Linked DNA regions of Xenopus tropicalis. The protein of the gene in region 2 interacts with the protein of the main gene of each other region in a pairwise test. Links are inferred from orthologs where the notes say so. Each region holds a gene or a part of one and is shown on either strand. Other genes may lie near its edges. The genes, in order: msrb3, golga2, cdk18, ccdc150, rgs8, krt78.2 and thap7.

What was found.
Region 1: the proteins of golga2 (region 2) and msrb3 interact in binary tests that used the Homo sapiens proteins (3 or more experiments, as listed by UniProt). The two-hybrid records come from large-scale screens. The link is inferred for Xenopus tropicalis from reciprocal best matches to the Homo sapiens genes GOLGA2 and MSRB3.
Region 3: the proteins of golga2 (region 2) and cdk18 interact in binary tests that used the Homo sapiens proteins (3 or more experiments, as listed by UniProt). The two-hybrid records come from large-scale screens. The link is inferred for Xenopus tropicalis from reciprocal best matches to the Homo sapiens genes GOLGA2 and CDK18.
Region 4: the proteins of golga2 (region 2) and ccdc150 interact in binary tests that used the Homo sapiens proteins (3 or more experiments, as listed by UniProt). The two-hybrid records come from large-scale screens. The link is inferred for Xenopus tropicalis from reciprocal best matches to the Homo sapiens genes GOLGA2 and CCDC150.
Region 5: the proteins of golga2 (region 2) and rgs8 interact in binary tests that used the Homo sapiens proteins (3 or more experiments, as listed by UniProt). The two-hybrid records come from large-scale screens. The link is inferred for Xenopus tropicalis from reciprocal best matches to the Homo sapiens genes GOLGA2 and RGS8.
Region 6: the proteins of golga2 (region 2) and krt78.2 interact in binary tests that used the Homo sapiens proteins (3 or more experiments, as listed by UniProt). The two-hybrid records come from large-scale screens. The link is inferred for Xenopus tropicalis from reciprocal best matches to the Homo sapiens genes GOLGA2 and KRT1.
Region 7: the proteins of golga2 (region 2) and thap7 interact in binary tests that used the Homo sapiens proteins (3 or more experiments, as listed by UniProt). The two-hybrid records come from large-scale screens. The link is inferred for Xenopus tropicalis from reciprocal best matches to the Homo sapiens genes GOLGA2 and THAP7.

What each region holds. Positions count from the first base shown.
Region 1 is NC_030679.2:57,611,790-57,614,867, forward strand, and holds part of msrb3 (methionine-R-sulfoxide reductase B3), read right to left. Parts: intron 1,553-3,078; coding exon 1,400-1,552; 3' UTR 1-1,399. UniProt on the Homo sapiens protein: Catalyzes the reduction of free and protein-bound methionine sulfoxide to methionine. Isoform 2 is essential for hearing.
Region 2 is NC_030684.2:22,941,211-22,944,710, forward strand, and holds part of golga2 (golgin subfamily A member 2), read right to left. Parts: intron 1,001-3,500; coding exon 890-1,000; intron 690-889; coding exon 609-689; intron 1-608. UniProt on the Homo sapiens protein: Peripheral membrane component of the cis-Golgi stack that acts as a membrane skeleton that maintains the structure of the Golgi apparatus, and as a vesicle thether that facilitates vesicle fusion to the Golgi membrane.
Region 3 is NC_030678.2:73,186,443-73,190,431, reverse strand, and holds the start of cdk18 (cyclin-dependent kinase 18), read right to left. Parts: upstream 2,801-3,989; 5' UTR 2,326-2,800; coding exon 2,226-2,325; intron 1-2,225. UniProt on the Homo sapiens protein: May play a role in signal transduction cascades in terminally differentiated cells.
Region 4 is NC_030681.2:100,035,247-100,039,281, forward strand, and holds the start of ccdc150 (coiled-coil domain-containing protein 150), read right to left. Parts: upstream 2,801-4,035; 5' UTR 2,768-2,800; coding exon 2,708-2,767; intron 2,426-2,707; coding exon 2,277-2,425; intron 1,098-2,276; coding exon 877-1,097; intron 1-876.
Region 5 is NC_030680.2:100,224,642-100,228,628, reverse strand, and holds the start of rgs8 (regulator of G-protein signaling 8), read right to left. Parts: upstream 2,801-3,987; 5' UTR 2,357-2,800; coding exon 2,229-2,356; intron 1-2,228. UniProt on the Homo sapiens protein: Regulates G protein-coupled receptor signaling cascades, including signaling via muscarinic acetylcholine receptor CHRM2 and dopamine receptor DRD2.
Region 6 is NC_030678.2:148,011,085-148,015,285, reverse strand, and holds the start of krt78.2 (keratin, type II cytoskeletal), read right to left. Parts: upstream 2,801-4,201; 5' UTR 2,701-2,800; coding exon 2,044-2,700; intron 1,935-2,043; coding exon 1,714-1,934; intron 582-1,713; coding exon 521-581; intron 1-520. UniProt on the Homo sapiens protein: May regulate the activity of kinases such as PKC and SRC via binding to integrin beta-1 (ITB1) and the receptor of activated protein C kinase 1 (RACK1). In complex with C1QBP is a high affinity receptor for kininogen-1/HMWK.
Region 7 is NC_030683.2:102,966,062-102,970,237, reverse strand, and holds the start of thap7 (THAP domain-containing protein 7), read right to left. Parts: upstream 2,801-4,176; 5' UTR 2,639-2,800; intron 2,579-2,638; exon of another isoform or gene 2,554-2,578; intron 271-2,553; 5' UTR 244-270; coding exon 164-243; intron 1-163. UniProt on the Homo sapiens protein: Chromatin-associated, histone tail-binding protein that represses transcription via recruitment of HDAC3 and nuclear hormone receptor corepressors.

The DNA.
Region 1 (3,078 bases), on a different chromosome or scaffold from region 2:
TCTAGTTATCGTTAATGTTCACCCACTTCAGCTAGCACACTTTGGTTGCTGTTTGAACCTTAAAAATAGGAGTGCATAGGAACCATTATCCCATACTGAGGTGTTATACATTTAAAAATCACTACCAAGTCTACAGTTACAGTTAGGGTTATAAGTGTTTGCAAATGCTAATCACATTTACATAGTCAGAAGGAGAACATTAAGAATGTAGTTATTTAGGACATTTGCTAAGTTGAAGAAGCAGCAGCAAGCAAGCCCCAAAGTTGAGCTCGAGAAACAACCATGGAGATCCTGGTATTGTAAAACAATATGCATTTGGTCTTTCTTTTATAATTGGTGGCAACTAGAATGTGGTAGGGATGATAGAATGGAATATGAAAATGAATGGAGAGTAAAACAAAATACTAATTATTCTAATAATCTCACCATCAGGATCTATGCTTTAGCAAAGTTACCGATGCTAGTAGTGAACAGCAACCAGAAAAAAAGATACATTTTCAGTATAGAATGTGGCAAAACCACATCTAAATTAAGAACCAGCTTGGACAACTGGTATGCCTTCTTTGTAACATGAGTTTAATGGAAAGGAATGGTTCCAAACATCATTTTTGTCTACTGTTTAATCTTGAAAAAACTATGTATGATTTCTTCAGCTAAACAGGCCAAGCAGAGAGACTAAAGCAACTCTATGTTTGGTCCTTGCAAGCTAGATTGTTAGATGCACAGATAACCCCCTGCATAATGGACTATAAGAAACTTCACAAAAGAGGTAGAAGGGAGGGGGTTGTATACTGGTAATCTATTATCTACCTCACAAGCAGCAAGCATGAAGTAGCTTCAGTCACCTTGTTTGACCTGTTTAGCTAAAGAAATAATGAAAACCACAGATTTTTCATTATTAAAACAACAGGCAAAAAGTATGTTCAACCCAAGCCCTATTCATTGAGCTTTTGTTGAACAAAGGGGATACTGCCCCTTTAATTTTATCAGTCTACAAGATACTAAAACTCTTGGCAACAAGTGACAACAGGTACAAATCACTGCATGTGTTCCTAACGCAACTCCTCTGGCCTCACCTTTGTTCTGTTCAATTCAGTCAACTCGTCTTATTTTGCAGTAATATTTGCTACATGGAAAAAGAGTCTACAAAAGTCTACCTGAATTATTCAATTCACCTACTCTGTGTGGCTTCAACTATTCAAAAAAGTTTAACATTAGTAACCAAGTCGGGACATATAGCTAACAGAATAAAGGCAATATTTTTAAATACATCAGGCAAAATGGTGAATGTTAGTTATGTAGTAAATGCAAAATTCAGCAATGGTGCAGGCAGTCCGAGGGAAGGTTGGTTCCCATAGACACAGGCTATAAGAATAATTTGCTAATTCTGTTGTCATGTTTACAGTTCATTCTTTTCAGATGAAGCCGATGTGCTGTCTATGGCGGCATCAGGCACCTCTGGAACAAAGTTTAATGATGCAGAGTTTATACAGTATCTTTTACCAGTAGGACGAGGTCCATCATCAAATATGTGGCCAAGGTGTGCTCCACACTGCAACAGAATACAAAAAAAAGGATGTTACGTTGATGAAAAAAAAACATGGCTGCTGTGAAATACTCAACTGGTAAATAGTAATGCTTGTTTTTATTACAGTAGCAGAATAAATGTATACTTTGACACACCTAAGCGTTAGCGTTTTGCCACTTCCAATACAGAAACATACCAAATGGGCAACCATTCTTTTCATCATCCTTGAAGATGAGTTTGTTGTAACATTACCATATTTTTACTAAATAACTTTATCATATTTCTAACTTTATAACTAGCAAATAAGCAGTTTCTTATGTGGGCTTATGGAATTATGCCATGGGCACGGACAGGTTTTGACCTAAAAATGTTACAGTCATGGCCCAAATTGTTGGCACCCCAGTGCCTTGCATCCCTAAAAGAACCATAGTTTGTGATTATAAGACTCACATAGAGGAACCAGCACAACCCTTTGCCCTCTCTTTGGCCCATTTTGTGACCACAACGATTTTAGCCTATAGAGGCAAACAGTTAACATCATAGGGGCAAGGTGCAAAAAGCTGATACGCTTTGCATCTTTTTTTTTCTTGGAATATTTCTAAATTGATGATACATAATTAAGTCAAGAAAAATAATCCATAATCAAAGGTGAAACTCTGTTTCAGGTAACTAAAAAAAATTCCTATAATTGTTGTACCTGGACTGAAATCTCACTTGTATGACCATGGCATATGGTTTTCACTATTTTTCATGCTCAGTGAAGCATCAAATGATTACTTAAACCCTATTAATTAGAAGATTTGTAATCTTGGAATATTCTTCTCTCATCGGTGTAGAAATGTCTTTACAGGAACAAGCCGAACACTTTTAAAGAGGAGGAAGGAACTAAAACTATAATAAATGCACCTGCACCAAAAGAGTGGGAAGAACCCTTTACTAAGGGAAATCCTCAAGGATGCATATGTCTGTTGGTGTGTGAAACACTATGGGGGGCATTTACTAATGTTCATATTTCTTTTTTCCATTAATCATCAAAATCCCATAACTTCAATTTTTGGTGTAAAAAAAACCCAGTGTTTCATGATTTAAGTATCAAAACCATGAAAAACATTAATACAAAACTTTGCCATCTAAAAGCTGTTGAGGTCATGTAGAAGGATGGGAACGGGAGTTGTCCGAGGCAAATAGTAACAATCTTTCTTTAATTTGTCCTTGCAGAAGTTTTCATGGTCTTTTTTTCATTTAACACTCCACGAAGATTCATGGAAAAACCTCTAAAACCAGAAAATGAGAATTTTGATAACTGGACCTCTAAAAGGCACATTTATCAACATTCTGATTTTAGTGGTAGAGTTTTTGAAACTACAAATAAACTCATTTCCACAAAAACCATTTAGTAAAAGATTAGAATATAAAAAGTACAAACAAATTAAAATGCAGAACCAAAATGAAAAAATCTAATCTAAAATTTTTTGTTTTCATAAGAATATTTTTTAGTTTATAAGTGAAAAAAATCCCCAAAACCACACATTAAATAAAGATTGTCAGAA
Region 2 (3,500 bases):
GTAGCGCCGCGCACGCATGCGCAGTAGAGTGAAAAGCCGAATTTAAAAAACAAAGTCGGCTTTTTACTCTACTGCGCATGCGCCGGCCGACGGATTTCGCCGGGAGAAGAGAGAGGAAGGAGGAAGCGCTTGCTACAGGTACCCTGGGCTGGTGCTTTTTTCTCCTAACAGGGGCACCAGCCCAGGGTACAAGGTAAGCGATCTAAGTCACTTGGGGGTGCTTAACATTTTGGCACCCCCAAGTGACTTAGCCTTTCCTTCTCCTTTAAAAAACTGGAAAGAGTCAGAAGAGAAAGCAAATAATTCAAAAACTATATTAAAAGTAAAAATGAAGACCAACTGCAAACTTGCTAAGAATAGGTCATTCTATAATATATAAAAAGTTAACCTAAAGGTAACCACCACTTTTAAGGGAAAGTCCACCTTGTAATAAACCAAAACACGCAAGTAAGGATCCATTACACATTTACATTGCACGGGAAAAAACTAATTCCACCAGGCAACATAAATTAAAAACTGCAATGAGATAAAAATGAAATAGCTGTGAGTTTTGCAAGACCAGCAAAAAGGTAAAGCACATAGCCAGCAGCCTTTCCAGGCCGGCTCACCTTCATAGTGGCCAGTGAAGGGATTGATACCCCATTGGATCTATGAAGATCTGACACCAGCCCCTTCAGAAAGGCCTGTATCTAAAAGTAGAAGATAAAAGGAGACAGAGAAGAGAGAAGGAGAAAAGACATTTGCTCATTTTGGAAAGGCAGAAAGAAAGACTTTACGCAATGAAAAGCAAGAAGTCTGCCACCTCCGTTTATTTCGCATTGCCATACAAATGCAGCGGAGCGTTACCCTGCACAGGGCAGGATGATCAATGAATGTTTGCTTCACTCACTGGGTCTGGAGAGAGCCGTGCTGGGTTATCAGGATCAGATTCTTTGGACTTTTTCTTTTTCTTGCCTCCTGTTGGCGCCGGAACGGTCGCCTTCTGCTGAAACTCCTTTAGCTGTGGAGAAAACGTGACAATGTCAGTTATACCATGCATAGCTGTGGTTAAAAGGGAAGCAAACCAGGTCATACAGTTATCTCATGAAACTTCCCAGGGCTACGGCAAGAATACCTTTCTGCGACACTCTGAATAAAAGTTAGTACAGGTATAGGATCTGTTATCTCGAAACCCGTCATCTCCCATAGGCTCAATTTTTTTTTTTTTTTTTTTAAATCAGTTTAATGAAATATACATGAAATTTACAGTGGTACATTTGCGTTTTTTTCTTTTTGTTATTAATGAACAGATAAAGAAAGAGAAACATAAGAAATTAACACAAACAGAAATAAAATGGACAATGCATAATTTTGATTGTGTAGTGTCTTTTTTTTTGGGAAACAGTCCGTGGGGTTAAGTATACCTGTGGCTAGGAACCTTCCAAGTCTATCAGACAAGAATTAAAGTGATGATAGATGGATGTTTGTAGGGTTGGGATATAGTTGGATATAGGGTTGTAAGGGAGGGGAGGGGATTGCACAGCATCACCAAATTCAATCCAGTCTCCCCAAACCATGTAGAATTTATCTAGACCGTTTTGTCTCATACAGGTTATTTTGTACAGTAGTATCGCTTTATTGATAATCTCTACCCAGATTGTAGGATTGGTGGTAGCCTTCCAATGAAGTGCAATGGCCTTTTTAGCATTCATAAGTAGTATTGAGAGGAGTGTACATTGGGCTTCTCCTAGTGGTAGTTTCCTGCACCCGGTTTAGGAGCATGATTAAAGGGTTCACTGGTACCACTAGGTTTGTCCTAGCTTGAATAGTTTGTGATATCTGGTGCCAGAATAGTTGTAACTGTGGGCAAGTCCACACCATGTGAATATGGTCTGCTACTGGGGCAGAAAATTTGGGGCATGTTTGCTCTATATTTGGGTTGATTCTATGTAACCATTGTGGGGTAAAATATATACTGTGTAGATATTTTAGCTAGGTCAGCTTCCATAGGCTCGATTTTAATCCAATAATTCAGAATTGTAAAACATGTTTTCTTTTTCTATGTAATAATAAAACAGTACCTTGTTTTTAATTCCAACCTCGATAGAATGAATCCTTTCTTGGGGGCCAAACAATCCCACTGGGTTTATTTAAAATGTAAATGATTTTAAGCAAGGAATGGAGATCCAAATTATCAAAAAAAAGAACCCAGGTCCCAAGCATTCTGGATAACAGGTCCCACACCAGTATGATGGTTACCGAGATGTAGTTGCTTTAATGTTTCGGGCAGGTGTCAATTGGACAGATTTGATTTTCCCTTTTGTCTGGGGACGGCATTGGCTCAATGACAATTTTTTTCAATCATTCTTGGGTCCTGCGAGTGCTCCATTCTTAAGCCCCCCATACACGGGCCGATAGAAGCTGCCGATATCGGTCCCTTGGAACGACTCGGCAGCTTATCGGCCAGTGTAGGGTCAGAAACGAGGGGCCTGGCCGACTGATATCTGGCCTGAAATTGGCCAGATATCGATCTGCCAGGTTAGAAAATCCAGTCTGATCTGGGACCGCATCGGCTCGTTGATGCGGTCCCCGAACCGACTGCCCCATTGCCGCATACAGAATTCGATCGTTTGGCCCCAGGGCCAAATGATCGAATTCACCTACATGCCTCCCCGATATCGCCACCCGTAGGTGGAGATATCGGGTGAAGATCCGCTCGCTTGGCGACATCGCCAAGCGAGCGGATCTGCCTGTGTATGGCCAGCTTAACATGGATATGTGTATGTAAGTTCAGTTAAGCTATAGTTTCTCTTACTCCTGTGTAACTGGAGGAGTCATGAGCCGGACTTGCATTTCTCACTACTGAGTGCTATTCTCATATCTACCACCACTTTCCCATTGTTATGCTGATCGGCTGCTGGGAGGGGGGGGGGGGGATATCACTCCAACTTGCAGCTCAGCAGTAAAACGCGACTGAAGTTTATCAGAGCACAAATAATACATTAAAAAAATGGATTTCAATGCAGGATTCTGCTGGAGAAGCTCTATTAACCGATACGTTTTGAGAAAATACATGTTTTCCCATGACAGTTTCTTTAACTGCAGGTAGACAATGTGTGCCAACTCTCTCTGAAGCCAGCCACACTGGGGTACACACGTGTGCAGCTGCCTGCACTGGCAATCTGTGGGTTCTAGCAAACGCCAGAGGGGGATGCTGTAAGATGCCATAGACACTCACTATTTATTGGGCTGGTGGGAGCTGTTTGGGCCTCTGTTGTTGAAATGCCAGGGCCTATTTTAAATCGCAGTCTGGTCCTGCTTAATGGATAAGAGACTGCATGTCACCTGGATCCGGGTGGCAGAGTAATACAAAGTATGTGGAAAGGGGGTGCCTCCTCCACAAAATAGCATTACTTTCCCTTATACAGGGTTTTTAAGAAATGTGTTGTTAACCATTCTATAACTTTTCATCAAAACTTGCCCTTTGCAGTCAAACTTTCACTGGTGATCTAACTGGTTGT
Region 3 (3,989 bases), on a different chromosome or scaffold from region 2:
CCTTTAAGTGATTCACCTTATGAATAGAGCTTACTGAACCAGCCCAGAGGTACATCAACCCAATGAAACTGAAGGCTGATGTCTGCAAATTTGTCACTGATGTTCTGATTTCTTAATTTGGCTGTGTCCCTGGACATTGTCATTTTTACTGTGTTACTTTTGTTTGTTTTTGTGTCATCCTTTTTAATAAGGTTGGCAAATTAGATCAAACAGGAGAAACATCTGCAACTAGGAATGAGTTGTGACAGTGACAATATGTTTTAGTTTTGCTGTCTGTCAACACAAAAAGTATCTCTACTTTTGACCCACTAATCCAACCTGAAAAGAAAGAGCTGACACTCTGTATTTTTTCTATTTTCCTATATGGCAAAAAATGAGCATAAACTGGATGAGTTCTTGAACAAGCATAGTATCCAAGGCTATGGTGATACTAATATCTACGGTTAGTATTATTGGTTGCATATAAAGTTTATGTATGTGATAGTATAGATTGGTAAGTATAGGTTGTGTGTGCTGGGTTTACTTGGAAGGGTTGAACTTGATGGACTCTGGTCTTTTTTCAACCCTATGTAACTAACTATGTAACTATTTGCGCTTGTGTTAGTGGATTACACTTTTCAAATAGCCATATAATAAAATAAGGGAGAAGGAGTGACTGAGTGTGTAGGTCTCAGCACTCCAGGTCAAGTTAGATTACTAACACCTCTTTTAGCTCCATGGGAATGTCAGCAAATCCCTCTATGCCTCAGGCAACAAACTTAAAAGGTAGGCTCTATAGGGAGAGGACCTCTGGATGGAAATGCTGTGTACACTTAGAAGCATGATAAAAATGTAATATACCGTATATACTCGAGTATAAGCCGAGTTTTTCAACACCAAAAATGTGCTGAAAAATTAAACCTTGGCTTATACTCGAGTTGGGAGAAATACACGCCGTTTTTAAAAGAAAGCCTGACCTGCACAACCCCTTCCAGCGCCAGCTTCACCCGCACTGCCAGGCCCCCCAGACTACCTAATAGTTCGGTCTTCTGTGCTCCTGGGAGGGAAGTGGGCGGAAGGGACGTCACGCGCCACCTTGCCGATTCTCCTGCACAACCCCTTCCAGCGATTGGGGTTACAATTCCTGCTCCCGCCAGCTTCAACCGCACTGCCAGGCCCCCCAGACTACCTAATAGTTCGGTCTTCTGTGCTCCTGGGATGGAAGTGACACCACGCGCCCCCTTGCCGATTCTCTTGATGATTGATGTAACTGAAGGATCGGCAGTTGTCCTTCCCAGCTTGGTAAATGTCTTCACTTGTGTGTTTGTGAGGCCTCAATAGGCATGTGTCTGCAGGCAGGGTTATTTGGGCAGGGACCTTATGCATTAATTGGCCTGTGCAGAAGGGGTGGGGTGGAATGTAGACCAAACACAATGTGACCAAAAGAAAGAATAGAATTTCTTTTATGTTAAGGGGGGCTTTTGTGTGTTATAATGGTGGAAAGAGAGAAAGTAGGGAAGGGAAGGGAAGGCAGCTGTATAGTTCAGTCTGGAAAGTAAGTCTTAACCCGCAACTGCACTGTTGCTTGGCTGAAGATACTAAAAGTATTATTTCCCGTTGGTGTATTAATGTACTTATGCAGTGTGATCACTATGCCTGTCGCCATCATACAGATGTTATTCTCCAGTGGGGATAGAAATCTCAACATCCCTTATGCCTCAATAAATGTCATTTTATTGGTATTTATTTTAATTATTGAAACTTAGCGATAGCTGCTGCATTTCCCACCCTAGGCTTATACTCGAGTCAATAAGTTTTTCCAGTTTTCTTAGGTAAAATTAGGTACCTCGGCTTATATTCGGATTGGCTTATACTCGAGTATATACGGTAGTTTGTTTCCATTCTTTGGAAATCTTAAAAATTGTCCTGGACACAAATCAAAACCTCAGTGTGCATACCATGTAGATGTGCATAAATGCACTTAACTGGTAATTATATATGCCTACAGTATACTACCAACACCACTGCTATCTTGATTTTCCCTTCACATGCAGGCTGATATGTTTCTACAATAATAAATATATTAAAAACTCAACAAAATTAAAATAAGAGGAATATGCAATGTTATTGTAAATTATACATTAAAATTCATGTATTCATGATCGCTTGAAAAGTGACATAATAGCAAAGACTCATATGTGGTTTTCTAGTAACCAACCTTAACACACTCAGCCTTTAGCACTTACCTTCACCGCACCGGCTATTCAGCTGATTATATTCCTCAATAGTTTCTGGCCGAGGGACAGAGAGGGAGAATCGACGCTTAAAATTCTTCACCTTGTTCATGGTGATGGTGCTGACCTGAAGGTTAAAGAGAACGGTGGAGTGTAAATGTGGGAAGGCTCTGGGAAAAACAAAGGCAACCTGTATGTGCCTGGATGTGGAATGAAATGAAGAAGCTGTGCATTGAATCAGAGAGGCATCATAAACACTGTCTGTGTATCAGGCTTTAGCAAGTGAGGCTCTCATTAGTAAGACAGAGATTGTTATGATATCTGTGCATTAGGTAAAAAGGATTTGGCCAGGCTGAGAGCTAGCTGTGCAAAATGCAGAAAGAAGTACAGGCTGGCTCCGTAGAAATCAGAGTGAGGGTAAGTGTGGGAGGGTTGCATCTGCTGCATCTCTTATCAATGTCTTGTAGATATGATAGGAGGATCTCAGATTGTCCCTTCTCTGCAAATGAAGGCAACGTGTCATTGGCAGATTGCAAGCTCTTCAGGACATAAACCCCTCCCATCCTACTGTTGATATACATGTGTCCTGTTCTCACTTTTGCAAAAGGTCTACATTCCTTCTGCTTCAGATTCTATATAGCTGACACTAAAGAACAGGAAGTGGCTGCAGGTTCATTAAAGGAAATCTGTTGAAGCAAAAAAAAAAAAAATACAATTTCCTAGAATAAACCTGCAGTTAGTAAGATCTTTGCATTTACAGAATATCGCTCATTGTTTACTATCACCTTGTTTTTAACAGGGGTCTAGAAAGAATATAAATTAGAGCTGCCCGTCTTTAATCCCTTCAGCTACTGTAGAACTCCAACTCCCAGAATTCCTACAGAGCCAAAGAGTGACTAATACATATATTTTTTAAACTTTGCACAGTAGTTGCTGTTTATTGCTTCCATTTTTGGCAGTGGGCGTGTTAATGAACTCAGTGCCTCCTTGCTAGGTGTAACTACTTCTGCTTTATTTCAATAAATGTCTATCTCTCTGTATATACTTTATATGAGAAATGTGCCTCTTATTTTAAAGACCAAATCCAGACTTGGGCTTCAGATAAACAAGTTCAAAAATACAGTATATGTGTAAAGGTCACCATGCACAGGCAAATTTTTAAAAGATTTGTTCCTTATTGTATGTTGACATCAAAAAAGAACATTTAAAATATAGTAGCCCAAACTAGAAGAGAATATATATAATTATTTACTGCTATAATTCTTTTTAAATGAACATTTGTACCACATAATGGTACAGTACATGCAACCTCTGACACCTGTCATCGAAGCACTGCCCCATACGTACAGTTTCCAAATTGTTAAGAGATTGTAACCTGTCCATCCTATTAACGGACAAATGTAATCCTTTAAAGAAGAAAATTTTAAACCCCTCCCAATCAATTTTCTGACCATGTTGTTTACCTTTCTTCCCTTAGGGGATGGCAATTTAAGCCTCAGGGCTTATGAATTTGGTTCCTAAAAATACGTGTAAGTTTCTAAACTTGTGCATGGTTTCAGAGCTGCCATGCAGTAATAATCTGTAGTATTTATTAATCATCCTTATATTGTGACTTTTATATTCTTTATCTTCAGTATATTGTGAACAGGTAACTAATAGCGCCACAGAGCATGTGCAGTAAATTAGCAGAAAAGATAATGGGGAGCTACTGGGGGCATGTTTAGAGGCAGAGATCTTCCCTGTTGAAGAGCGATGGTTGCCTTGGGCTGGTACAGA
Region 4 (4,035 bases), on a different chromosome or scaffold from region 2:
CATAAAAATTGTGGGACTACAGTCCCCTAGTGACCAACTGTGAAAAGTTTGGGAACCCTGTTGTTAATACTGTGAGAATGGCAGCAGGTTGAATTTCCCAATTGAAAGTCAATAGGTAAAATCTGATTGGCTGTTGGTGGTCTGCCCACTTTTTCTAACCTTGAACCGCAGTTACCTGGTGCCTAACTCTGCAAAGTTTGGGGACCCTGGTGTTATTACTGTGAGAATGGCAGCAGGTTGAATTTCCGCCAAGTCAATAGGTAAAATCTGATTGGCTTATCCCAGCTCCGCCCTCTTTTGGGCATCCAACAATCATCATATTTTCATTCAGGCTGACCCCATGACTATGTGATTCAAGTTTGGGAGGTGCAGCCTCAAAGCTGTAAGTGTGAGTGGCAGCAGTTTAAATTTCCCCATTAAAGTCAATGGGTGAAATTTGATTGGCTGTTGTTGGCCCCTCCCACTTTGGGTCATCCAACAAATGTCGCTGTTTCGTTTGGGGTGACCCCATGATTATGTTATTCAAGTTTGGGGGGTGTCGCTTCAAAGCTGTAAGGGTGGCAGCAGTTTGAAAATCTTTCCTGTCAAAGTCAAGGGGAAAATTGGGGTGTTCACAAAAATTCGGGGGCCGGGATCTCTTAGAAAAGCATAAGCAACCTGCTCCCCTAGAGGACAAAGAAGTGTGGAGAGTTTGGGTGTTGTACCCCTAAAACTGTAGGAGGAGTAGTGTTTAGAAAATGGGGGCGTTAAGAAGAAGAAGAAAAAGCGGAAGAATAAACTGAAGTGGAAGAACAGTATGTTGGGTTTTTCAACCCAAAGCATTTGTAAAATTGTCATTGACCTTTTTGTGGTTATTGGAAACAAATAACTACTTACCTGTGTGCTTTGGATTCAGTTTCAGCTCAGTCTGCATTCGAAAGACACTGAGCTTTAGTGTCTGCATTACGCTTTCAATATGGCACATGCGATTTACCAGATTCTCGCAGTTCTTCCACAATGTATCATTGTCCCCTGTAAATGCTAACCTTGCCTTTAGAGGACTGACTGGCCGCATGATGTGAGCAGGCTTTTGATTTGCAAAGTCTTTACTCTCAAATCTGCAACAAATAATATACACTGCAGTGCTGAAGTGAAAAGGAAGAACTGTGCTATTTTGAGCTTGCTTTTTCTGTGTCATAATATGTATTTTAACTGCTGCCTATGTATCCTAGGATGTTATTAGAAAATCATTCTAGTTACATTCATTCTCTACCTTCTGTTCTTTGAGAACATACAGAACAGCATAGTAACCCAAGCTGCTAATAGGGCTGTGTTGGCACTGTGCAGTACGCCAAAAAACTGTGCACAAACTAGTGATGTGCGGGCCTGAAATTCTCTCAATGAGCTAGTAACTTAAAGGAACAGTAACACTAAAAAATAAAAATGTTTTAAAATAATTAAAATATAATGTACTGTTGCCCTGCACTGGTAAAAGTTGCGTGTTTGCTTCAGAAAGACTACTGTAGTTAATAGAAATAGCTGCTGTGTAGCCATGGGGGCAGCCATTTAAATTGAAAAAAGGAGAAAAGGCACAGGTTACATAAGAAGATACCAGATAAACTGTGTACAATACAATGGGAATCTATGCTACTTATCTGTTATCTGCTTAGTAACCTGTGCCTTTTCTCCTTTTTTCAATTTAAATGGCTGCCCCATGGCTACACAGCAGGGTATTTATATAAACTGTAGTAGTGTTTATGAAGAAAACACACAACTTTTACCAGTGCAGAGCAATAGTATATAATATATTAATTATTTTTATACACTTTCATTTTTTGGTGTTACTGTTCCTTTAAAAGGAATAAGGACAGGTAGGAATATCGTGTTAGCATGCCCTTAAAAGACAATGGGGGTAATTTATCAACAGTGGGCAAATTTGCCCATGGGCAGTAATCCATGGCAACCAAATTATTACATTCATTGTTCTACCTGCAGCTGGCTGAAAAAAGGTAATCACTGATGGGTTGCTATGGGTTACTGCCCATGGGCAAATTTGCCCACTCTTGTTAAATGAGCTCCAATGTGAGAAAGCTTTAAAGGTGAGATTCTTCTTTAAATAATTTTTTAGTATGTTACAAATCAACCAATTCTAAGTAACTTTATAAAGGGTATTTTATATATATCAGCCTTCCTATACAATTACAAATGAACTTAGAGTGTACTGATAAAACCACACATTAACTATATAGTATATAGTGAGTTTGACTTTATGGTCTTGTTATAGGACAGACACTGACCTCTCACTGCTAACACCAAGTGCTCTCAAGTCACTAATTAATGCTTCTGTCTGCTCTTCTGCCACACACATTCTCTGCTGCAGTACAGAGAATGTCTCAGGGGCTGTGGGGTGGATATTGAGAGGAGAGATCACTGTTCGATCCATCATCTGTCAAGAAAAAAACACAAGAGTACACAAAAGAGCAATGTACAATGGGCCTGAAAACAATCCCTGTTTTAACCATTAGATGGACAAAAATAGTAAACGAAAGACACTAATAATGCAGGATAGTGGAGGATAGTGTCAATAGTTTACTATTTTTGTTGGCCTTTATGTCAACCCTACAAATTTAGCAATTTGCACTACCACACAGGAGTCTCTACTGGGACTCTCTGAGGGGGCTTATCATCAGTCATAGGCATCATAATTCTGCTTCTATGACATACTTACCAACTGTCCTGCTTTTTGTGGGACAGTCTCAGTTTTCAGGGCATGATAGTCCACAGGCATGCGCTTTCAGTTTTTTTTTTTGTCTGCTCAAAACTCCTACTTGGGCAAGGGGAAAAAACAAAGGCAAATTCCTCCACATTAGTTGCATATAAAATAAAACATTATATGCTCCTTGCACTGCCTATAGTTTCACTCCACTAACAGCCGCTAACTTCCTCCTGCTTCCTTTTCTGAATCAAGTGCTGCTGCACAGGGGAACCCTGAAGCTACTGCCACATTGGGACCTGGATGTAGCTCAAGGGTTTTCTCAGTGCCCTGCGTCAACAGCAAAAGCACACTCGTGTCTAGAGAATTGGGCATATGCACCACTCTCTCGCCGAACACCAGAAATTACACCAACAGGGATTCAAAAACTTTTTTGAAATGCCTGCCATTGAAGGGAATGTCACCTGTCACTGCTAGTAAACCTGGGATGCCGAAGTCTATAGCAGGCAGCCCAGGTAAGGTGCAGGTAGCTAGAGAGCAGATTAGGATCAGGTGTGGGTCAAATTTTTTTCAACCCGCACATCACTACTGCTGACCCCTCCCACAGCGCTGACCTCTCCCACAGCTGAAACCAACACTTCCGTTGTTGTACAATAAACCAGCATGTATTTAATGCCTGCACAGTATGTATCCTAATTGATGTGTATAATTATGAAAGGTACATTTTAATTAAGGCAAAGAGTGATTGAGGTAGGACCCCTTAGGGAAGAAAAAGACTTTAGAGCTCCTGAGGACAGTCTACAGTAGTGCATCCAAAGCAAACACGCAGGTGCATTATTTTTACTAGTGCAGGGTACACACAAACATAAATCTCAGATTCTAGATAGAGCAGCAGCAACAGATCCAAAAAAATATAATTATGGACCAGAACTGCAACAGACAAATATTTTTAGAGAGACAGATACTCTTTATGCTTCTGATGAATATAGTTTAATATAGTATAATGTAATTATGTACTAGAACTGTGAACTTACAGTTTAGTTGAGAGAGTAGACATGCACCTGTTATCAGACTCCTTGATCTTCTCTATGTTCTGTAACAATTCTATCAGTAAACAGCCGGTCCTTTCCCTGTCGTGCGTCCCACTGTGACTGCTGCAATCCTTTGCTTCTTTTTTGCTTGTATTCAGATTGGATTTCATTCAGATTCAATTTCCTTTTAGCTTCCCTCACGTATTGTTCCATAAAAGCATGTGCAGTTTAAGTCCTTCCTGTCAGCTTTGTTCAAAGCAATATGCTCATTATAATTATATTTTCAGATATTCTCTCATCGGTATTAGACTA
Region 5 (3,987 bases), on a different chromosome or scaffold from region 2:
TGCTGTCAGTTAATGAGTTTAGGGACCGACAATATACTGCATATATATGATATAAATGTCACAATATAAGGCTGCTTAGTTATTAACACAGATGATTACTGCATGGCAGCTCTGAAACCAGTGCTATTAGCATCAGACTTTAATCATCAGCCCGTTAGGATCAGCTTATATGACAGGCAAACATCATTTTCTTTGCTTGATAATTTCCGTCGACCCCTAAGCCTAGCTTTTCAACAGCTGCTCAGAGCACACTGAGCGTGTGAGTGTTGCAGACACTTCTAACAGAAGTGTCCAGTATATGTCCAGTATGGTCACCCCCAGTGACAACTGTAAAAGACTGGATTATTACTACTATAGAGATGTTGAACTTTTAGGCTGGTTCAATAAGTTCATTCTAATCATCTAAAATATGGCATGTCTACCAATATTCATTTTTAGGGTATAGTTCTCCTTTAACCCACTTTTGGGCAGGAAAATTGGTCCTAGGTATAACAAGTATTAACCTGCATTAATATATGCACTATATGTGCAAAGCTTATTGTGGTCTAAAAACAGTGGGAGCTAGTTGAGGCCCCATTCCTGATGATGCAAACATGGTGGTATGCCAGAGGTGCATTAGGCCCATTAGGTCCCTCATATGGGACTGCATAATATATCACTTTTCTATGGGTGCTCCTATGGCAGCAGATTATGAATACAATATATTTTAGAATATATTTTAGAAGAATTGTCTTGAAATTCAAGTCTGATCTACTATTTAGTATGCATAGGCTTATGTCGACTTATTCTTGATAGTGGTATTTGAAGCTATGTTTCTCCTTGAGCTCTGACTGAAAGCAACTACAATGATAAAAAATCTTTTATGCTGCAATTAAAACCCCTGTTATGAAATGGTTTCATGTCTACATGAGTATTTTGGTTGGATCTAGGCAGCTTAAAGCAAGGTTTTGCAGAATTCTGTTCTAACAAATAACAGAATATGTTTCATTCTTTCAGCCTCTCACATTTTGCTCACAATTATATTGCGAGACACCCAGCCCAACAAGTAAGTTGTAACTGACAATCTGTCACACATTTATAAATATGGGGCAAATTTGCACCTGGGCAGTAACTCATAACAACCAACCAGTGATTTTTTTTTGAGCCACCTGCAAGGAGAACAATTAAATCAAATATCTAAATGGTTACCATGGGTAACAGCCCAGGTGCAAATGACCCCCACTGTCTCACTGTATTAGATCTCATCTAACTGACGCTATTACTTGATTAAGAAGATATTTTCTGAAAGATTTTCTAAAATGATCATCTCATCAGCATATTGTTTGTCAATGTTATCAGCAATAAACATATATATATATATATATATATATATATATATATATATATATATATATATATATATATATATATATATATATATTTAAACCTATACTAATACACAACAAGACAGAACTGCATTCCTCCAATAACCAGTTGATTCCAATGATATGTTTTTAGTGCAGAAAAATAGGAAATTGATAGAGCAGACCCTGCAGCTCTGAACATCTCGGCAACCCTTTGCCCTCTTATTTTTCATGTTACTGCTGTATAAGGAATTCATATGTATTCCATCAATCACTATAAATGATCAGTGCCCAAAAAGCCCCACTCCAACAATGTTCATTTAGTATATCAGCCCCAACAGCAATGGGATTTTTTTTTCTAGTTCTTAGATTTCATTTAATGAACCAAACAAGCAAGGATGGAATAGACTGAAGATGTGGGTGTTGAGTCCTGTGCCTATAAATACACATGCAGTGTGCAACAGCCCTGATGTCATCGCTCAGGTGAAGGAATGTTTTATCCAGCACAAATGTGAGCAGAATGCAAGTGTGAATTAAAATATCCTAACGGAAGAATAGGAATGTTTTTTTTCTATGAAGGAAAATGAAAATGGCAATAATACAGAAAGCATTACAATCATTATTAAGATACACACCATGTCGTTAACTGCAACTGATGGGTGATTAATGTTAGCTGCATACACTATCATTTGCATTGATCTTAGACATTTGATCTTCCAAGGCTGGAATGATTTAAAACTGGCTACAACATAGGGAATTCTGCACAGACTGTAAAAGGAGAATATGCAGATTAAATGGACTAGTGACAACATGGTGACGGTTTTTAAGGTTTTGGGAAGAAGAACAAAGGAATTTAAGGGGTGATATGAAGGTTGGCATCCTTACCCCAGATTAGACCCACATGGTCTTGCCGGTTTTCCTGTTCCATGACCCCCCAATGCTGCATCCATTTCGCTGGCTGAACGTGTTGGACAGCTGAGGCTGAGAGAGCGGAGTTTGGTGCTTTGATGCATATTGTTCAGAAAGGCTAGACCCCCTGCCTAACAATTAATCCCCCCAAGCCTTCTGCCCTGGTTTGTGTGACAGCTCACTCTCAGCCCTGCTAATCCCCCCAGACAGACCTTCAGTCCATGCAAGTGATGTGTGGAATGCTATTTGGATACACTGTCATAAACCCTGCCATCCCTTGCAATTGCCTGATGCATAGCACTATCCTTGCTGCACGGGTACCAAAACACTCATTGTCACATGATGTCTGTTTCAGGCATCATAACCTCTCCGCCTCTTGCACCTATTTATAGAGGCATTGAGGAGCCTCTGCAGTGAGTAATGGACTACAGGTTTAGCATTAGCTTTAAAGATCAGTTATAATCCATTGCTGTTCTGCCATCAAGAGATAACAGTGTAACAAGGAGAGAAATCTGCAGCTTTTCTACATGGAGAAACCCTGGAGAATGAGGGAAACGCAGAGAGAGAGAAGAGAGAAAGGGAAGAGCTGTGGGAATAGCAGTCAGAAGGAATCAGTTCATAAGGCAGAGACATTAAAGTGATACGAGCACAGGCTCTGAAGCAGAACAAACATAGAAATGACAGATCTCCCTTGGCATTAGCATGTATTAGCTCACATCTGTTACATTTGAAGATTTTTCATTTTAAAGGATAGTCATCTGATAATTTGTTAAAATACTAATGGGATTACTTTTAATTTTCAATTTAGTGCCTAGCACCTTCAGGGCTATCCCTGTAATATGATGTTGGCACCCACATTCCTTTAAATGCCTCCCCTAAGCTTCAAATAGTTTGGCCATTGAGCGGTCAGCAGTCGGCCACCTTAACTTTTAGATGCCATGGCATTTATTTGCCTACAGAAATTCACTGGCTAACAGGAGGGACTTGCCATTGGAAGATTTGCATAGAGTCTTGTTACTAGGTTGTTGGTTCTACTTGAATTTACAAATCTTTTGCTTTACATTAAGTAAAAACAATTTTTTTAAAACTTGCATTTCTATCAATGGTTAACAATGTATATGGACCCCGCCTGGATCACAGAGCCTGGTTCAGCTAGTCAGCTATCATATTCCTCTTTCTTCTTCAGGGAAAGATGAAGCACAGAACAGGGCTTTGTTGCTTGGAGGGTAGTTTTCCCATCTAATATTCTCTTTAATCTCCTAAATTACTTTTGGCACATCTGGGCCACTGGATTTCCAGGCCTCTCAACATTCATCTTTTGACTGTGCTTTTCCAGTCAAGGAATCTCCTAATGCATTAGAATGCAGAGCTCTTATTGACTGCTTCTTTGAGCAAGTATTTGTCAGACCAAGGGTTTTAAATGTATAAGAATCTACACAAGACTCCAAGAACTGCCCTGACCATTGATTTCTTCATATTCATTCCAAACATCCATCCACTTTTCATTTCCTCATTTGGAAATGCAGAACTGATATAACTGAATCACTGGGTGCCTAGTCTGCTGAATGACAGTTCATGTTTAGCACTTAGACTTCCTTTGCTATTACTGTATCTATTTTTTATTTTGCATCACTTTACAGAGATTGTTTATTGTTCACATAAGTCTCTGCCTCAATGGAATTTACAATGTGAGTGCCCTATTGTTTTTACATACACTTAGGCTAATTTAATAAGT
Region 6 (4,201 bases), on a different chromosome or scaffold from region 2:
GCTGAGTAGGTTTAATCACAAAGGTTATAGACTGCATTATGTTCAAAACAGTTACAAGGCCTTAAGAGAATGTAGTTTTAACAAATTAGTCTTGTAAGTAAAAGTTATGTTCTAAAAGTGATAGTAACTGTTAGTAAGTTTAAGGCAGATGTATTATAAAGAAACTTTTCAATTAGTCTAAATCTTTTATTTTTTATTTTGTGTCATTTATAAGCTTTGCTATTCTGCTTCTTCTCAGCCAGCAATGACACAATGCCTTCTGGTTGTCTCAGCAAGGCAAAACCATCCTGACTGTAAAGCTGGATATACACATAAAGACCTGTTAGTTTGGCAAGTTACCAATCTTTGCCCACTTTAACCATCCACATGCTGGGCCAAATTAAGTAGATCTAACTGTTTCCTCCTGCAACAGTGCTGGCCATCAGTAGAGGTTCATCCTGTGTTTACACAGCCATTCTTTACTATCTTCTGTGATTACACCCAAGCTTCTCTTCACTGGTGCAATGCATTCACTACCTACCTTTTTGAGCACTACAAATTCATTTTCGGCAGTTGTGCGCTTGTTGATTTCATCCTCATATCTACAGAGATGAAACAAATTAGACCACACATTTAACCCACACAGTGACTTGACCTATAGAGCAATGTATAACTCGTTGCCATTATTTTATTCAACCCTAGAAGAGCACATATTCATTTTTAAAACATTAATACCCCTTTGATCCTAATCACTTGATCTATGTATGTTCTCAGTACTTTACGTTTGTATAGACACTGGGTGGACTAGTTATTTCTCTAGCTTTCAGCTACAATTAAACACATCAGGAAAAATAAAGTGCTGAGATCTAAAAAGTAACATATTGTGATTTTGTAAATAAGTAACCCCCTAGCACGACAGCCAATGCATTTAAAGAACTGTCACAAGCAAGGAAGAATGTATTTTGCAATCATTTCTGAACTTCACAGCTCTGTGGTACTAAGCACTCCAAAATTGCACAAAAAGTAGCATATACACAATAGCCAGTCTAAAGGACTTTTGTAGATTTGGAAGAGGGAACATCCCATTAGCTCCCATTAGTAATTTACTAAGCAGTGTTACACAATGGTTGTTATGATCAAAACCATGGCTGGCCAACTAGACACATAAGGGTATGGACGTCTAAGAGATTTTTGTTGGCACCCAGGACAAGTACAGTCTACATGGACCTCTTTGTATGACATCACTGTTTTTTTTAATAATCCCTCCCCCAAGCATGGAAAATAGTAAATAGCTGGTGCACAGCATCAAAACGATGGGATAACATTAATGCAAACAGCTAATTTAGTTGTAGTAATTAGCATGCTTATACCTGTAAATAAATACAGGTATGGGATCCCTTAGGGATTTATCCAGAAAGCTCCAAATGAGTCCAATTTAATCAAATTATTACAATTTTTCAAAAATACTTCCTTTTCTCTGTAATAATAAAACAGTACCTTGTATTGATGGCAACTGAACAATCCAACTGAATCCATATTGGTGTCAAAACAATCCTATTGCCTTTGTTTTAGTGTTTTTAAGGAGTCAAAAGGTTTCAAGATCCAAATTACAGAAAAAAAAAACTTCAGGTCCCAAGCATTCTGGATAACAGATGCCATACTATACTGTATTTATAATTACCCATACCTCATATCTGTATCTAGCCTAATAGCTTAACAGCCATGCCAACTTACTTGTTTTTGTAATCCTCTACCAAATCTTGAGTGCTTCTCAGGTCTGATTCCAAGCGGTGTTTGTCATTAAGCAGCGAATCCAATGAACGTCTCAGATTGCTGATGTAAGCTTCAAAGAGAGGTACAATGTTGCTTCTCTTTGTAACCCCTTTTTGCCCATGTTCTTGCAAGAGTTCCCATTTTGTCTTCAATACTTGATTTTGCTGCTCCAAAAATCTCGTCTATAACAACAAAGCAAACCAAAATGCATGAATAATGTTACTGTCAGCGATGCATCTGCAAATTTTGTACAGGGTTTTTTTTATATAAAGAAATTAAAATGTTCTTCACCTTGTCAATGAAGGAGGCAAATTTGTTGTTGAGGGTCTTAATCTGCTCCCTTTCCTCTGTCCTCACTTTTTGAATTGCTGGATCAATTTCCAGATTTAACGGTGCCAGAAGACTCTGGTTAATGGTCACTTCCTGAATTCCACCAGGAGGGCATACAGGAAAATTCATGCCTCCAAAACCTCCATCTATTCCTCCTAGGCCACCGCCAAATCCACCATCACCAAATCCTCCACCTCCAAATCCTCCACCTCCAAATCCTCCACCTCCAAATCCTCCACCACCAAATCCTCCACCTCCTGCCCCACCAAATCCTCCACCTCCTGCCCCACCAAATCCTCCACCTCCTGCCCCACCAAATCCTATACCACCTGCTCCACGAACACTGCCTGAACTAATGGCAGTTTTTCTTGTTCCTCCAAGAGGATGGAGGTTATGGAGGCTTTGAGAACTGAAACTGGCACCTCCACTTTGTATGAATCCTCCCCCACCACCACTAGCACGACCGCCACCCATTCCTTTAGACACAGAAGCTGAACTAAAGCTAATTCTACCTCCACCACCTCTAGCTCCAAGGCCTCCACCACCAAGCGAAGAAGAGCTAAAGCTCTTTGTGCCCGCTACAGACCTACTAGCAAATGACTGCTGACCCCTATTCATTTTGACAGAGGTAAAGAAACAGCTATAAGTAAGAAAGTAATAGCCTAAGATACAGAAGAAGAAGTCAGAATGAAGGGAATCTAAGCCCCTCTGATGAGAAAGCGTTTTCTCCACCTTTTATATAATTTTTAAAAGTGGGTTTGGCTGCCTTGGGAATCAGAAGATCAATTTACTGTAATCATGGGCTTGGCAACTTTGGCATGCCTGGCAGCACATATTTAGTGGATTGATAAATTGGGACACACCTCTTTATGTAAAAAAAAAGGTATTAAAAATTACCTCACTTGAAGGCTTTGGTGTTATGAAATCCTTTCATCTGCTAAATTAAGGATGCATATTGCTAGAGATATTCCAAAAAGATCCTCAGGCTACTTTTTTTTTAATACAAAGCATGCATATTTTACCTGTCTCTTTGTGTTATCCACAAAATTATGTGCCAGCATATTAATATAAATGAATTTAAAAAGCTGACTGAAAAATAAATTGCCGTGAGTCACACTTTTGCCTATCAGCTTATTAGAATGGATTAATAGACTAAATGGCTGCTGTTCAGTCTAGCTTTTATTCATCTACAGTGCACCCAGCTTTCAGTCACTTTGATTTGCTGCATGGTAAGGTACTTGGTAAAGCCAGAAAATTGAAGAGTAGAAGAAGATTCCAACCAGGAGCAGGGAGCAAGACTCCTTCAGTAGGATGAAGTGCAGAAGGAGAAGTCAACCACAGCTGAAATAGCAAGCTACTATTCACCAGGACCTACAGTAGGTATCCAGATGAGCTTGAGAATGTAGTACTGTCGTCCATTGGAAATAGGGAGTAGTAACTCAGATAAGACCCACAGACAAGTGCAGAAACTCAGTTGATGCAGCGAAGAGCTCAAAGCAGGACAGTTACAAAAGCTATAAGGACTACAAAGGATATTGGACATATTGGAGTTCTAAATGTGTCATGTGTTTTTAGTTGCGTATGTTTAAACCAATGATGGTAAAATTTCTTTTAACTTAATCCCTGTAGTGCTGGCTTGACTGCAACAATTATTGCCATCATCTAAGACCCATCAAGAGATGAACATATGACCTGACATTGCATTACTTGGTTGCACAAGCAGATGCTATGGGTGAGGCTCTGTGATGTGCCACTGGAACGACAAGGTTCTGAACAACATATTGAGAATTGTGAAATGTATATTTTGGTAGCTGTCTGTGCTGTATAAGTCACTGGCATAACAGATTTACATTTATTTTTTATTATCATTCTTTTTTAGCACTAACATTTTGGCACAGCACTTTGCAAAAATCTTTTTCAAGTCTATAACTTTCTTCTAATCTTTAGATTGTAAGCTCTTGCAAGTAAGGACATCTGAACCTATTCTAACCCTTGTGTGTTATTTAATTAATCCCTGTAAATAAATGTAAAGCACTGAGTAATTTGCTGGCACTATATAAATAAATGATGATAATACGAGGAAACTAACCCTTGCAAAACTCTTTCTTTTATTCTGTTT
Region 7 (4,176 bases), on a different chromosome or scaffold from region 2:
GTACATTAGAGGGGATTATAGGCAGATGGGGGATGTTCTTTTTTCCCATAAAAACAATCAGCGCACCAGAGGCCACCCCTTTAGATTAGAGGAACGGAGCTTCCATTTGAAGCAGCGTAGGTGGTTTCTCACGGTGAGGGCAGTGAGGTTGTTACATACATACCGATGGAAAGTTATACCCTTGCGCTTGCTTAGTGCCGTCTGACGGTTGACGCAGTCAGCAGCAGAACATGATCGCACCATTTCGTAGTTTTCAAATAAGAATCTTATCTAAAACAAAAAATAAGGCAAATAAATCTAAACAAAATCACCATAGTTAGATTTTGCTTGCAGTTGAAAATTCCACTCAAGAAGCGACTATTAAAGGAGAAGGAAAGGTAAGCATTAGCAGAAAGGTAAAGTAAATACAGCCATAAGCACTCACAGAAACGCTGCACTGAGTCATCTATTAAAAGAAACACAGGATTTGTTGTCTCCTTTTTTGTAAACATGTTCTCAGGGTATTTGACTCCCTTCTTTAAGAAAAATCCTTCATTCCTGGGGCCAGAGTCTGTGCAGCTCTCTCCTCTCTCCCTTAAGAATTCAAAAAACTCACTCCCCCCACCCTTAAGCTTCTAGGGTTCTTTACTCAGGTATGATAAAGCTGTCTACAGAATAAATATAGCATTCTAGGTGGCACTTTTGTGGCAAATCTATTGGCAGTAAAATGCCAAAATAACTTTCCTTCTCCTTTAAAAAACATCAGAGTAGTTCAGCAAACAGGACAGCATGGATATGAATTCTGCCTTGCAGTACTAAGCTGGATCCAAGCCAGGGCACTATCTGCAAAGACTCTATATTCTTCCTGTGTTAGTGTGGGTTTCCTCCCAGCATTCCAAAAACATACATGGTTCTTGATTAAATGGACCCTTGTGTGCACAAATGTGATAGGGACCTTGGATTATACATTTCACTGGGGCAGGGTCTGAAGTGATTGATGTATAATCTCTATAACACACTGCAGGAATGTGTCAGTGCTATGTAATTACAATTATAGTAAAGAAATAACAAACCTCAATGACTAATACACAGGAGTGCTATTATGAGATAATGCAAAAGGTCTCATTACACAATTTCAATTTATTTTCTTATTCCACTTTTTGTGTTTCTAGTCCAGCAGAAAATGTCAAACCAAAAAGTGAATTCATCTTTTAGTCACTCAGTCAGTGTGAACAGATAATAGTTTAAATACTGGTGAGCTGTATAGCAAAATATTAAATCAATAAGAAATAATGAATGTTAAGTAAGGCAGTCCAACTGCAAATTCTCTCATAACAGCTCTCGTTAGCAGGGCCCTCTAACCCTGCTGTTTATGCTGTTACCCATCCATGTTTACTGTAAGGGCTCTGGCACACGGGGAGATTAGTCGCCCGCGAACAGGGAGTTTTGCCGCGGGCGACTAATCTCCCCGTGTTCCAGAGCCCTAAGACTCCTGATGCTGATTTTATAGAAATAAGTTAGGACATGGATGTAGTGGAACAAGAACACAGCAAAATGATAAATCAATCCAGCCCTTTCCTGGGAGTGCCCCGTACAGTATGCAGCCTTCAGCTGGACAGCCACCTTATATTTTCATCATCCTGAACTTACTAAACATTACTTTTAATGTGAAAATGCATTTTCATGAATGCAACAAATGAAATGCCACCGGAAATATGAAGCTGCACCTAGCTCCGTAGTGAAACTCAGAATAGGCTCGGGCACATCAAGTACAGGTATGGGACCTGTTTTCCAGAATGCTCGAGACCTGGGGTTTTCTGGATAAGGGATCTTTCCGTAATTCTCCATAACTTAAGTCTGTTAAAAATCTTTTAAATATTGTTCTGCCCCCAATAAGGAGTAATTATGTCTTAGTTGGGATCAAGTACAAGCTACTGTTTTATTATTACAGAGAACAAGGAAATCTTTTTTAAAAATTAGAATTATAGGCTTATAATGGAGTCTATGGGAGATGGCCATTCCATAATTCAGAACTTTCTGGATAAGGGGTTTGCAGATAAGGGATCCCATACCTGTACACAGAGGCCCAAAATGACCCCTCCACCACCAGCCCAATAAATAGTGAGTGTCTATGGCATCTTACAGCAGCCTCTCTGGCATTTGCCAGAACCCACAGATTGCCAGTCCGGGCCTGCCTGCTCCCCCCTTCCAACAAGAATGGGTCAAGCTGCTGGCACAGGGTGGCATTGGCACAAACAGCTGGTAGGGTGGGAGCAACCAAAACAACAGGGTGACTGTAATGCTTCCCTTGCATTTTCATATGTTTTTTTGTTTTCGGGTCATCCACTGCTTATATCCCATTCTGCTTTACAAACTACTCCCTGGTTGCTAGGCTAATAATTCTAATAAGACATATACCAGCTGCGATTTGCTTGGAATTCGATACAATGCTACAAAGTTGCTTTTTAGGGAGAGCGGATTTATCTTTGCACATGAAACAGCAGACTTTTTAGCAAGGGATTATCTCACATGACTTCTGCCCACATCACTTCATCCAACTCAAATCACATTTACCTTGGAGTTTCTAACGTTATATAAAGGGTAGAGACAGCAAAGAATATAAGGTGTAAGACTCAACCTCTAACTAAACTGCATCTACCTCCCAACTGTCCCGCTTTTGGCGAGACAGCCCCGACTTTCATAACACAGCCCGCAGTCCCGGATCGCTTCTTAAATGTCCCCCATCGCCGTTTAAATATCCCGCATCGCCGTTTCGATGCCTAGCTCCTGGGCTCCTGTCGGCCTACTTTCCGAGACTTCCGTCACGCTCTCGCGAGATGAGACTGTGACGTCACGGCCAGACACTATATAAACGCAAGGTAGGGCTGCTGCCACTAGGTGGAGTAGCGAGTAGAACGTTGTTTGAGCAGCAGTGCATATAGTTATTACACTGAAACACGCTGATAGTAACACATGGTTTCCCACCATTTATTTTGTTCTGTGCTCACTGTTCTTGCTTGTGTCAATAGCTGCCAGCATTACCAAGTTGTTGAAAAAAAGTATGCCTTCCCCCCCCCTTCTTAGAACTCCCATTTGTGCTATGGAGCAATAATGTTTTCTTGTAAACTAAGAGTACTTGCTGCCACTATAACCTCTGCTTCCAATATTTGACCTACAACAAATTTTCTAAATGAGTTTTTTCACCTTGAATTAACTCTTAGGGGGAGATTTAAAAAGACACGAACGATCGCTCCGAGCGCATTTTCGCCGATTTTTTCGCGCTTACGTGACTTTTTTGTACACTTGCGCGAAAAATTCGGAAAGGTTCTGCCGCTGTTTACAATCGTTCGGTAAGAAAATTTCGTGACTTTCGGATCACCAATACGATATTATCGTGACTAATACGATTTTTTCGCAAGCATTTTCGTGATATTTGCAATCTTCAGAAATTATCGTATCCAATCCGAATTTTTCCCATTCGGGATTTGAACTTGTGTTTTAATGAATCGGCCCCCTAGTATGATGTAGAGAGTAATATTCTGAGACAATTTGCAGTTGGTCTTCATTTTTTTGTTTGTAGTTTTTTTAATAATTTCAATGATTTTTCAGCAACTCTCGGGTTTGGAGTTATAACAGCTATCTGGTTGCTAGGGTCCAAATTACCTTAGCAATCAGGGAGTGGTTTAAATGAGAGCCTGATATATGAGTAGGAGAGGGATTAAATAGAAAAAAAAAGGTTATAAAAAGTAATAATAAGATTGTAGCATCACAGACCAACAGAAGACCAAGTGAAAAGTTGCTTATGTTATGGCTGAGCCAGCACAGCAGGGGTTAACCTGCGGAGTGCAGCAGGTTAACCCCTAGTGGCTAGTACGGTTTCAAGTTGTCCATGACATACTTCATGGGCAGTTTTAAAGACATACTGACACCAGAAATTAAGCTTTTTTTATGTCTATCATAAAATTGTCTTTGAATGCTATTTATAATTTTGCTATAAAAGTATTGGCTTGATGCTCTACCTATCTGATCCCCCATGTTCCTCTGAGGGGGCTGCCATATTAGTGAGGCAGGAGTCTGTTAGCTAGCAATGAGCGAATTTGTCCTGTTTTGCTTCGCTGGAAAATTTGTGAAGCCACAGCTAAATTTGCAAAACGTGTTTGTCGTGAGATTTTTTTGTCGCCCATGCCCATTTTGGCA